2 linked regions of the Saccharomyces cerevisiae S288C genome follow. The gene in region 1 interacts genetically with each later gene. Each region holds a gene or a part of one and is shown on either strand. Other genes may lie near its edges.

Region 1 (4,502 bases):
AAGAGGCTGCCATTATGGCCTTAAATAAAGTTGAACATTTTTTGCAGAATACACCCAATGTATTTGAATCAATTAATGACGCTGTCGATTGGCACGTTCAACACGCGTTATCGAGATTGAGGTCAAGCGCCGAAATTGCTATACCAGCTTTATTTGCTCCGCTCAAGTCAGGGAAAGTTGTCAGGATAACAAACCTTAAGACCTTTAGCCCTTTCTGGGACACATGGTTTACCGATCTGTCGCACTCCTTTGTTGGCTTACCTGTTAGTAAATTATTAATATTGGCGGGAAACGAAAATCTCGATAAAGAATTAATTGTGGGGCAAATGCAAGGTAAATATCAGTTGGTAGTTTTCCAAGATTCCGGGCATTTCATTCAAGAAGATTCGCCTATAAAAACAGCAATCACTTTAATTGATTTCTGGAAGCGGAACGATTCTAGGAATGTAGTAATCAAGACTAATTGGGGTCAACACAAAACCGTGCAAAATACATAAGGGTTAAATATCACTTTTATATCTTTATTTATGATAGAATAAATAACAGAATATATGAACTCGTGGAAAAGTCTTATTTTGCTGTGAGCACTTCTTCTGTGCTAATCAATAGACATAATGTCAAGCGTTGAGCCTTTATGTGCTTCACACTGCTCGACAACTTCATCAATTTTTCTTGAAGCCCATGGAAATCTTGGGTTGATTAAGAAAGGACGTAAGTCAAATCTGTTGTCTTCTGGTGAATACTGTTCAGCATGATAACTAGGAGTTAAAACAGTTTGCTTGTGTCTGTTGATGGCATAGAAGAAGAAAAATCTTTTCACCTTTTCAGATATTTGACGAGGTGTTAACTTTGGGGACCATTGATGAAGAAGTTTTAAGAACATAGAATAAGGACCACATTTTTCAACCTTTCTTAGGTAACCAAACACGCCCAATTCTTCATACGTCATCCCCATATCTATCTCATCCGATTGAACGTAATCTTTAGTCATAGGTTCTAATTCTGCAGTTGGTGTAGCGTTTAAAAAGTCATTCAAGATTGGCATGTTATATTGTTTTGATGCGTAGGCAATGAATCTTTTCAAGTCAGTTTTTGAAATACCCCCAATAGGGTTGATATCTGCGGAGGAGCAGTCATATTTTGTTAGATACCCACGTAAGCACTCATCAACATTTGCGCTACCAAGTACTAACAATCCACCCGAGTTTGGGATACCACGAACCCACGGCAACAGTTGCGCAAAAAGATAAGAAAGAACCATTCTTAGACGCGCCTGGATGTTTTGTAAAGCCAAGTTCTCGATTTGAGATCCCCCAAATATTTTGTATATTGGTTTTTTGCCAGTGGCTACTTCGAATAAGGACACCACACTGGATACCAATGAGTCCATCTTTAAATCCACGTGGTAAGATCCAATTGCATTGGAAAGGTCCTTTGCTCTGTTTCTTGTCTCCTTGGATGAATTTTCCGTACCCATGAAACAGGAGTGAAATATTTTTGAGGCTAGATCCTGTGGACTGTCTGGAATCCAATCATCGCCGCTACGTGTTATCTTACGAACGTCTTTGATAACTTGCTCATTTCCATTTTGAGCAGCGTCGGTCACTAAACGGCACATAGAGTGGACAATCATTGCAGTTGCACAAGAGTCAATGCCCCCAGATAAGGGAAGGAAAAACCCTGTTCCGTTACAACGTCTTAAATAATCCCACATCCAGCAAGCAGGTCCCAGTGCAATTTCTTCCTCAGGAGAGTGATAGAAAGGCTCGCGGACTTTTGTTGGACACACTGTAGGATCAAATCTGGAGGTCATTAAAGCCAATTCTACAGGAATATCAATACGCTTGAACTTTATTTCTGCCAAGGAGGCTTGTAGGCCACGAGACATGACAGCTGCACGATAACTCCTCACCTCTTCTAGGTCCACAGTAGCAGTAACTACTTCCACATCATCTAGCGAAAATTGTGAACCTTGGGCTACAATTGTACCATTGATGGCAATTAGTGCACAGCCATCATAATATAATCTGTCACCATCACAACCTCTTTGATTTGCATACAAGTAAACACCACCACAACGTTTAGTGGCATTTAAAATTAGGTCTAACCTTTTATTTAACTTACGCAGTTCATGATGAGAACCAGATGAGTTTGTCATGATTTCCACACCATCTAAAGACATGGCGATGTGGGGGGATTGAGGTGTAAACAATTCTTCACAAGTTTCTGTACCAATGCATGTATCCAATGAATTTATCACAGCGTCCCCAAATGGCACAAGTCTCTGGCCGGTAACTTTCTGAATCTCAGGTGGAAGGATAAAGTCCTCCACCACGCCAGGTTTCATCCAAGGTGTGAAAAATCTCATTTCCCTATAGTTACCATCATTAGCTAACCAAATCTTAGGTCTTATGAACAATATCTCACCATCCAAGGATAACAAACGACAATTATAACGAACATTCTTGTGTAGAACGGGCATACCAATGTCAAGTATTAATCCATGGGTTTCTTTATTCTTAATGATTTGAGCATACATTTCCCATGAATGAAGGCAAACGTCATTTTCTAAAAAATGATCTAAACATCCGTAGCCAGTTATTTCCAGTTCTGGGCCGACACGTAACCTGGCACCCCTCTCTTTGGCAATCTTAATGGACTGTAGGATACGGTCTCTATTACCTTCAAAATCTAGGGCCCATTGATTCAAGTTGCATGTAGCTAAAGTGATAAGATGTGACATTACTGGCAGGGAGTCAAAAAAAGAATGCCAGGGTATTTGGGGGTATTTTTACAAGCAATATCAATTGATGATGTGAGCATATAGTCTATTTTGAGGTAACCAGTTGATAATCTTATATTTCCCTTCCATATTCCTCTTTATCTTTTTCGACGAAACTATTGGGGCCTCTTGATATGACTTAGCAGGACATATAAAGGATAAGATGTTCCAAGCTATGTTATCTTTGACAAGTTTTGATAGCAATAGACTTTCAATTCCAAATTTAGGCACCTTTTGTAAGATCCTGTGTTCGTAAACTTTTCTTCAAAAAACATGGATCTAACTGACTGAAAGAGTTCATTATCTTTCAATTATGTGATGAAATTCTATTGTTTTTTTCAAGTTTTGCAACTAATCATAAAATAGAATGTTTTTACAGTCAAGCAAACAAAAATAGTGTAGAACTGTTAATATAAAATTAGTGTGAAAGATTGATCAAGAATTTATAAAGTCCTTCATGTTGTATATAGTATACTATACATGAACGCATATACAAGTAATTTGTGTGGATGATCATTAAAGATGGAAAATAAATAGAGTACAAAGGGGGGAAAAAAGTTCACTTGATGTCATCAAGGCATTCACCAGAGTTGAGAAATATCAGACCAATCATGCTTCTTTCTTCTTTCCCAATAACTCTTCGGTCCAGTTATGTATTTCCATTCATTCTTAGATACTTTTTCGAAATATTTAGGCTCCACATCTTGCCCTTTATTACGTCTTTCACGTTGAAGTTGTTCCAATTTCAGCTTCCACTCTTCCGCCTTATCAACATTTCCCTCCTCGTAAGCTCTAATATCTGGTCTTAATCTTGAGTCCGTAGGTGGTAAATTGCCCTTTTCAATTTCAGTTATCTCATTCAAATTTGCGGTGAATTTAGTAAAGCCATATTTCTTCTTCGGATTGCTAACTAAATCACCTACTTCCCATATAGTTTCATGTGTAGTTTCATTAGCTAAACTCTGTGTCCATTTACCAGCTAGAGTTTCCTTCTTGCGATTGCTCGAAGGTGGTGGGATTATCGAAACCTTAAATCCTTCAGATCTTCCACTAAACATACCTGCCTTATCGAACAGGATGTGTGATTTGTCTCCCTTCGAAGAATGTACTTCGAATTCGTTGACAGGCTCCATATATCTCTCACCCGCTATCAAATTTTTTAAAATAGTTGTTGGTTGCGTCCATTCAAATAGTTCTCCAGTTGTCTTAAACTTCAATCTCAGTATACCTTCGTTATTCAATTCAATAGACTTACCCCAAAACTTTTGCGATGGCGTTACAGTGTAACTACACTCCCAGTCGAGATGCTCTGCAAAGAAGGCAAATACTGGAGGACGATGTGAGACCTTTTCCGATATAAGCCTAAACCCCATATCTTCTCGTATAAGTTCAAATGTTTCAGCCAGTAAAGGATTAAAAGGCTTTCTTAGCGTTCTTGTTTTATCCCTATATATGGAAAGAAAGGAAATAGCAAATGCAGAAACAAAGGTTATAGGATCAGGACGTTGGGTAGCCTTCGTTAAAAGTGGAGCATACTCAAATGTTTCTGATATCAACTGCAAAATAGAAATAGGCTCATTTGAGGTTACTGGCATGGCAATAGAGCTCAGATCTTTGCCTACATTCTTTCTCAAAAAAGATAATAGGCTTGGCGGAGAAGCTGCAGCTTCAGGTATGTCATTACGGCGTGTAACACTCTTTGGATAGGAAAGAGCAAACA
Region 2 (4,152 bases), on another chromosome or scaffold:
GTGAATAGAATCCTTATGTGCCCCAAATTTTGGAGCCCAATTAAAGGAAATCGATGATGATTCATTACCGTCTTCGATCTCAGCAAAGCTATTCTCTAGGTTAATGTGAGGGCCGTTGAATATTGGAATCCATCTATTTTCCCAAATTGGTGCATAGTAAACCTTTGTATCATCACTTAAACTCTCCACTAAAGGAATATTGATACTATATAGATCTGTTTTTGGGTCCCAATTCTTAACAAGATGTTTGATAACATCTAAAGATCTCTTAGAGGCCTTCTCCATTAAAAGTGGGGAGACGTTTTTCAATCCATTAAAATAGGCCCAAGAAATAGCAATGGCCTTTGTATTTCCAGTAATAACAGATTCCATTGCGCCTCCTACGGTACCAGAAGAGGTAATATAAGCAGCAGATGTATTTCTACCAACATTTGGACCCGACAGTACTAGATCAAACGGTTCATTAGACAATAGGTGCAGCCCGATGTTTGCGCACGATGCTGGAGTTCCATCGATTAATATCCACTCAATTGTATCTTTCGGAATTTCAGCATTGAGAACATAAGGTAATTTAGAGTTTTCTGACCTAATTTGTGGCTGGATAAATGGGCCCCAAAAAGTATTGTCTTCAGCGTCAACTTTAGAATATATGAATTGAGCTGTCAAATTTTTACCAGCAAGATGAGCCTTACCCACCCATGATTTCTGGACATGAGGTACACAAACCGTGATTTTCCATTCAGGATAATTTCTTTTAATGTGCTGAATAAAAGGTCTAATGTATGGTGAAAACTGATCACTTAAGGGACCATCATCGTTAGTTATTAAAACCCGCATCTTAAAAGAAATATTTATTGTTTCCGAATTTTTAATGTCAGAGATCAAGTCAGAGCGGCTGCCTTTACCGTAATTTTCAATTGCTAAATACAATGTTCCTTGGTTATCCCATCGCCAATAATTTTTATTTTTACCACTGTTGAAGAAGCGAAAGAAAAAAAAAGGGAAAATCAAAACATTCCCTGTGCACTAATAGAAGAAAACAAGAGACTCCGTCCCTCTTTAGTGAGAAAATTGACCAGAGATGGTTTTTGTCCATCTTTTCGCAAAAAATTAGTTCTATTTTTTACACATCGGACTGATAAGTTACTACTGCACATTGGCATTAGCTAGGAGGGCATCCAAGTAATAATTGCGAGAAACGTGACCCAACTTTGTTGTAGGTCCGCTCCTTCTAATAATCGCTTGTATCTCTACATATGTTCTATTTACTGACCGAAAGTAGCTCGCTACAATAATAATGTTGACCTGATGTCAGTCCCCACGCTAATAGCGGCGTGTCGCACGCTCTCTTTACAGGACGCCGGAGACCGGCATTACAAGGATCCGAAAGTTGTATTCAACAAGAATGCGCAAATATGTCAACGTATTTGGAAGTCATCTTATGTGCGCTGCTTTAATGTTTTCTCATGTAAGCGGACGTCGTCTATAAACTTCAAACGAAGGTAAAAGGTTCATAGCGCTTTTTCTTTGTCTGCACAAAGAAATATATATTAAATTAGCACGTTTTCGCATAGAACGCAACTGCACAATGCCAAAAAAAGTAAAAGTGATTAAAAGAGTTAATTGAATAGGCAATCTCTAAATGAATCGATACAACCTTGGCACTCACACGTGGGACTAGCACAGACTAAATTTATGATTCTGGTCCCTGTTTTCGAAGAGATCGCACATGCCAAATTATCAAATTGGTCACCTTACTTGGCAAGGCATATACCCATTTGGGATAAGGGTAAACATCTTTGAATTGTCGAAATGAAACGTATATAAGCGCTGATGTTTTGCTAAGTCGAGGTTAGTATGGCTTCATCTCTCATGAGAATAAGAACAACAACAAATAGAGCAAGCAAATTCGAGATTACCAATGTTTAAATCTGTTGTTTATTCAATTTTAGCCGCTTCTTTGGCCAATGCAGGTACCATTCCCTTAGGCAAACTAGCCGATGTCGACAAGATTGGTACCCAAAAAGATATCTTCCCATTTTTGGGTGGTGCCGGACCATACTACTCTTTCCCTGGCGACTATGGTATTTCTCGTGATTTGCCTGAAGGTTGTGAAATGAAGCAACTGCAAATGGTTGGTAGACATGGTGAAAGATACCCTACTGTCAGTCTGGCTAAGACTATCAAGAGTACATGGTATAAGTTGAGCAATTACACTCGTCAATTCAACGGCTCATTGTCATTCTTGAACGATGATTACGAGTTTTTCATCCGTGATGACGATGATTTGGAAATGGAAACCACTTTTGCCAACTCGGACGATGTTTTGAACCCATACACTGGTGAAATGAACGCCAAGAGACATGCTCGTGACTTCTTGGCTCAATACGGTTACATGGTCGAAAACCAAACCAGTTTCGCCGTTTTTACCTCTAATTCTAAGAGATGTCATGACACTGCTCAATATTTCATTGATGGTTTAGGTGACCAATTCAACATCACCTTGCAGACTGTCAGTGAAGCTGAATCCGCTGGTGCCAACACTTTGAGTGCTTGTAACTCATGTCCTGCTTGGGACTACGATGCCAATGATGACATTGTAAATGAATACGACACAACCTACTTGGATGACATTGCCAAGAGATTGAACAAGGAAAACAAGGGTTTGAACTTGACCTCAACTGACGCTAGTACTTTATTCTCGTGGTGTGCATTTGAAGTGAACGCTAAAGGTTACAGTGATGTCTGTGATATTTTCACCAAGGATGAATTAGTCCATTACTCCTACTACCAAGACTTGCACACTTATTACCATGAGGGTCCAGGTTACGACATTATCAAGTCTGTCGGTTCCAACTTGTTCAATGCCTCAGTCAAATTATTAAAGCAAAGTGAGATTCAAGACCAAAAGGTTTGGTTGAGTTTTACCCACGATACCGATATCCTAAACTTTTTGACCACCGCTGGTATAATTGACGACAAAAACAACTTAACTGCCGAATACGTTCCATTCATGGGCAACACTTTCCACAGATCCTGGTACGTTCCTCAAGGTGCTCGTGTCTACACCGAAAAATTCCAATGTTCTAACGACACCTACGTCAGATACGTCATTAACGATGCTGTTGTTCCAATTGAAACCTGTTCCACTGGTCCAGGGTTCTCTTGTGAAATCAATGACTTCTACGACTATGCTGAAAAGAGAGTAGCCGGTACTGACTTCCTAAAGGTCTGTAACGTCAGCAGCGTCAGTAACTCTACTGAATTGACCTTCTACTGGGACTGGAACACTACTCATTACAACGCCAGTCTATTGAGACAATAGTTTTGTATAACTAAATAATATTGGAAACTAAATACGAATACCCAAATTTTTTATCTAAATTTTGCCGAAAGATTAAAATCTGCAGAGATATCCGAAACAGGTAAATGGATGTTTCAATCCCTGTAGTCAGTCAGGAACCCATATTATATTACAGTATTAGTCGCCGCTTAGGCACGCCTTTAATTAGCAAAATCAAACCTTAAGTGCATATGCCGTATAAGGGAAACTCAAAGAACTGGCATCGCAAAAATGAAAAAAAGGAAGAGTGAAAAAAAAAAAATTCAAAAGAAATTTACTAAATAATACCAGTTTGGGAAATAGTAAACAGCTTTGAGTAGTCCTATGCAACATATATAAGTGCTTAAATTTGCTGGATGGAAGTCAATTATGCCTTGATTATCATAAAAAAAATACTACAGTAAAGAAAGGGCCATTCCAAATTACCTATGTTTAAGTCTGTTGTTTATTCGGTTCTAGCCGCTGCTTTAGTTAATGCAGGTACAATTCCCCTCGGAGAGTTAGCCGATGTTGCCAAAATTGGCACTCAGGAAGACATATTCCCATTCCTGGGTGGTGCCGGGCCATACTTCTCTTTCCCTGGCGACTATGGTATTTCTCGTGACTTGCCTGAAGGTTGTGAAATGAAACAATTGCAAATGCTTGCCAGACATGGTGAAAGATACCCAACTTACAGTAAAGGTGCTACCATCATGAAAACATGGTATAAGTTGAGCAATTACACACGTCAATTCAACGGCTCATTGTCATTCTTGAACGATGATTACGAGTTTTTCATCCGTGATGACGATGATTTGGAAATGGAAACC

What was found.
Region 2: mutations in QNS1 (region 1) and PHO5 are lethal when combined (synthetic lethality), as found in Saccharomyces cerevisiae (one study listed by BioGRID).

What each region holds. Positions count from the first base shown.
Region 1 is NC_001140.6:244,434-248,935, reverse strand, and holds QNS1 (glutamine-dependent NAD(+) synthetase), read right to left. Parts: upstream 2,744-4,502; coding exon 599-2,743; downstream 1-598. Other genes in the region: PPE1 (phosphoprotein phosphatase methylesterase 1), read left to right, coding at 1-497; oxysterol-binding protein related protein OSH3, read right to left, coding at 3,364-4,502.
Region 2 is NC_001134.8:428,721-432,872, reverse strand, and holds PHO5 (acid phosphatase PHO5), read left to right. Parts: upstream 1-1,921; coding exon 1,922-3,325; downstream 3,326-4,152. Other genes in the region: PBY1 (putative tubulin tyrosine ligase), read right to left, coding at 1-837; acid phosphatase PHO3, read left to right, coding at 3,772-4,152. UniProt on the Saccharomyces cerevisiae protein: Partially mediates extracellular nucleotide derived phosphate hydrolysis along with NPP1 and NPP2.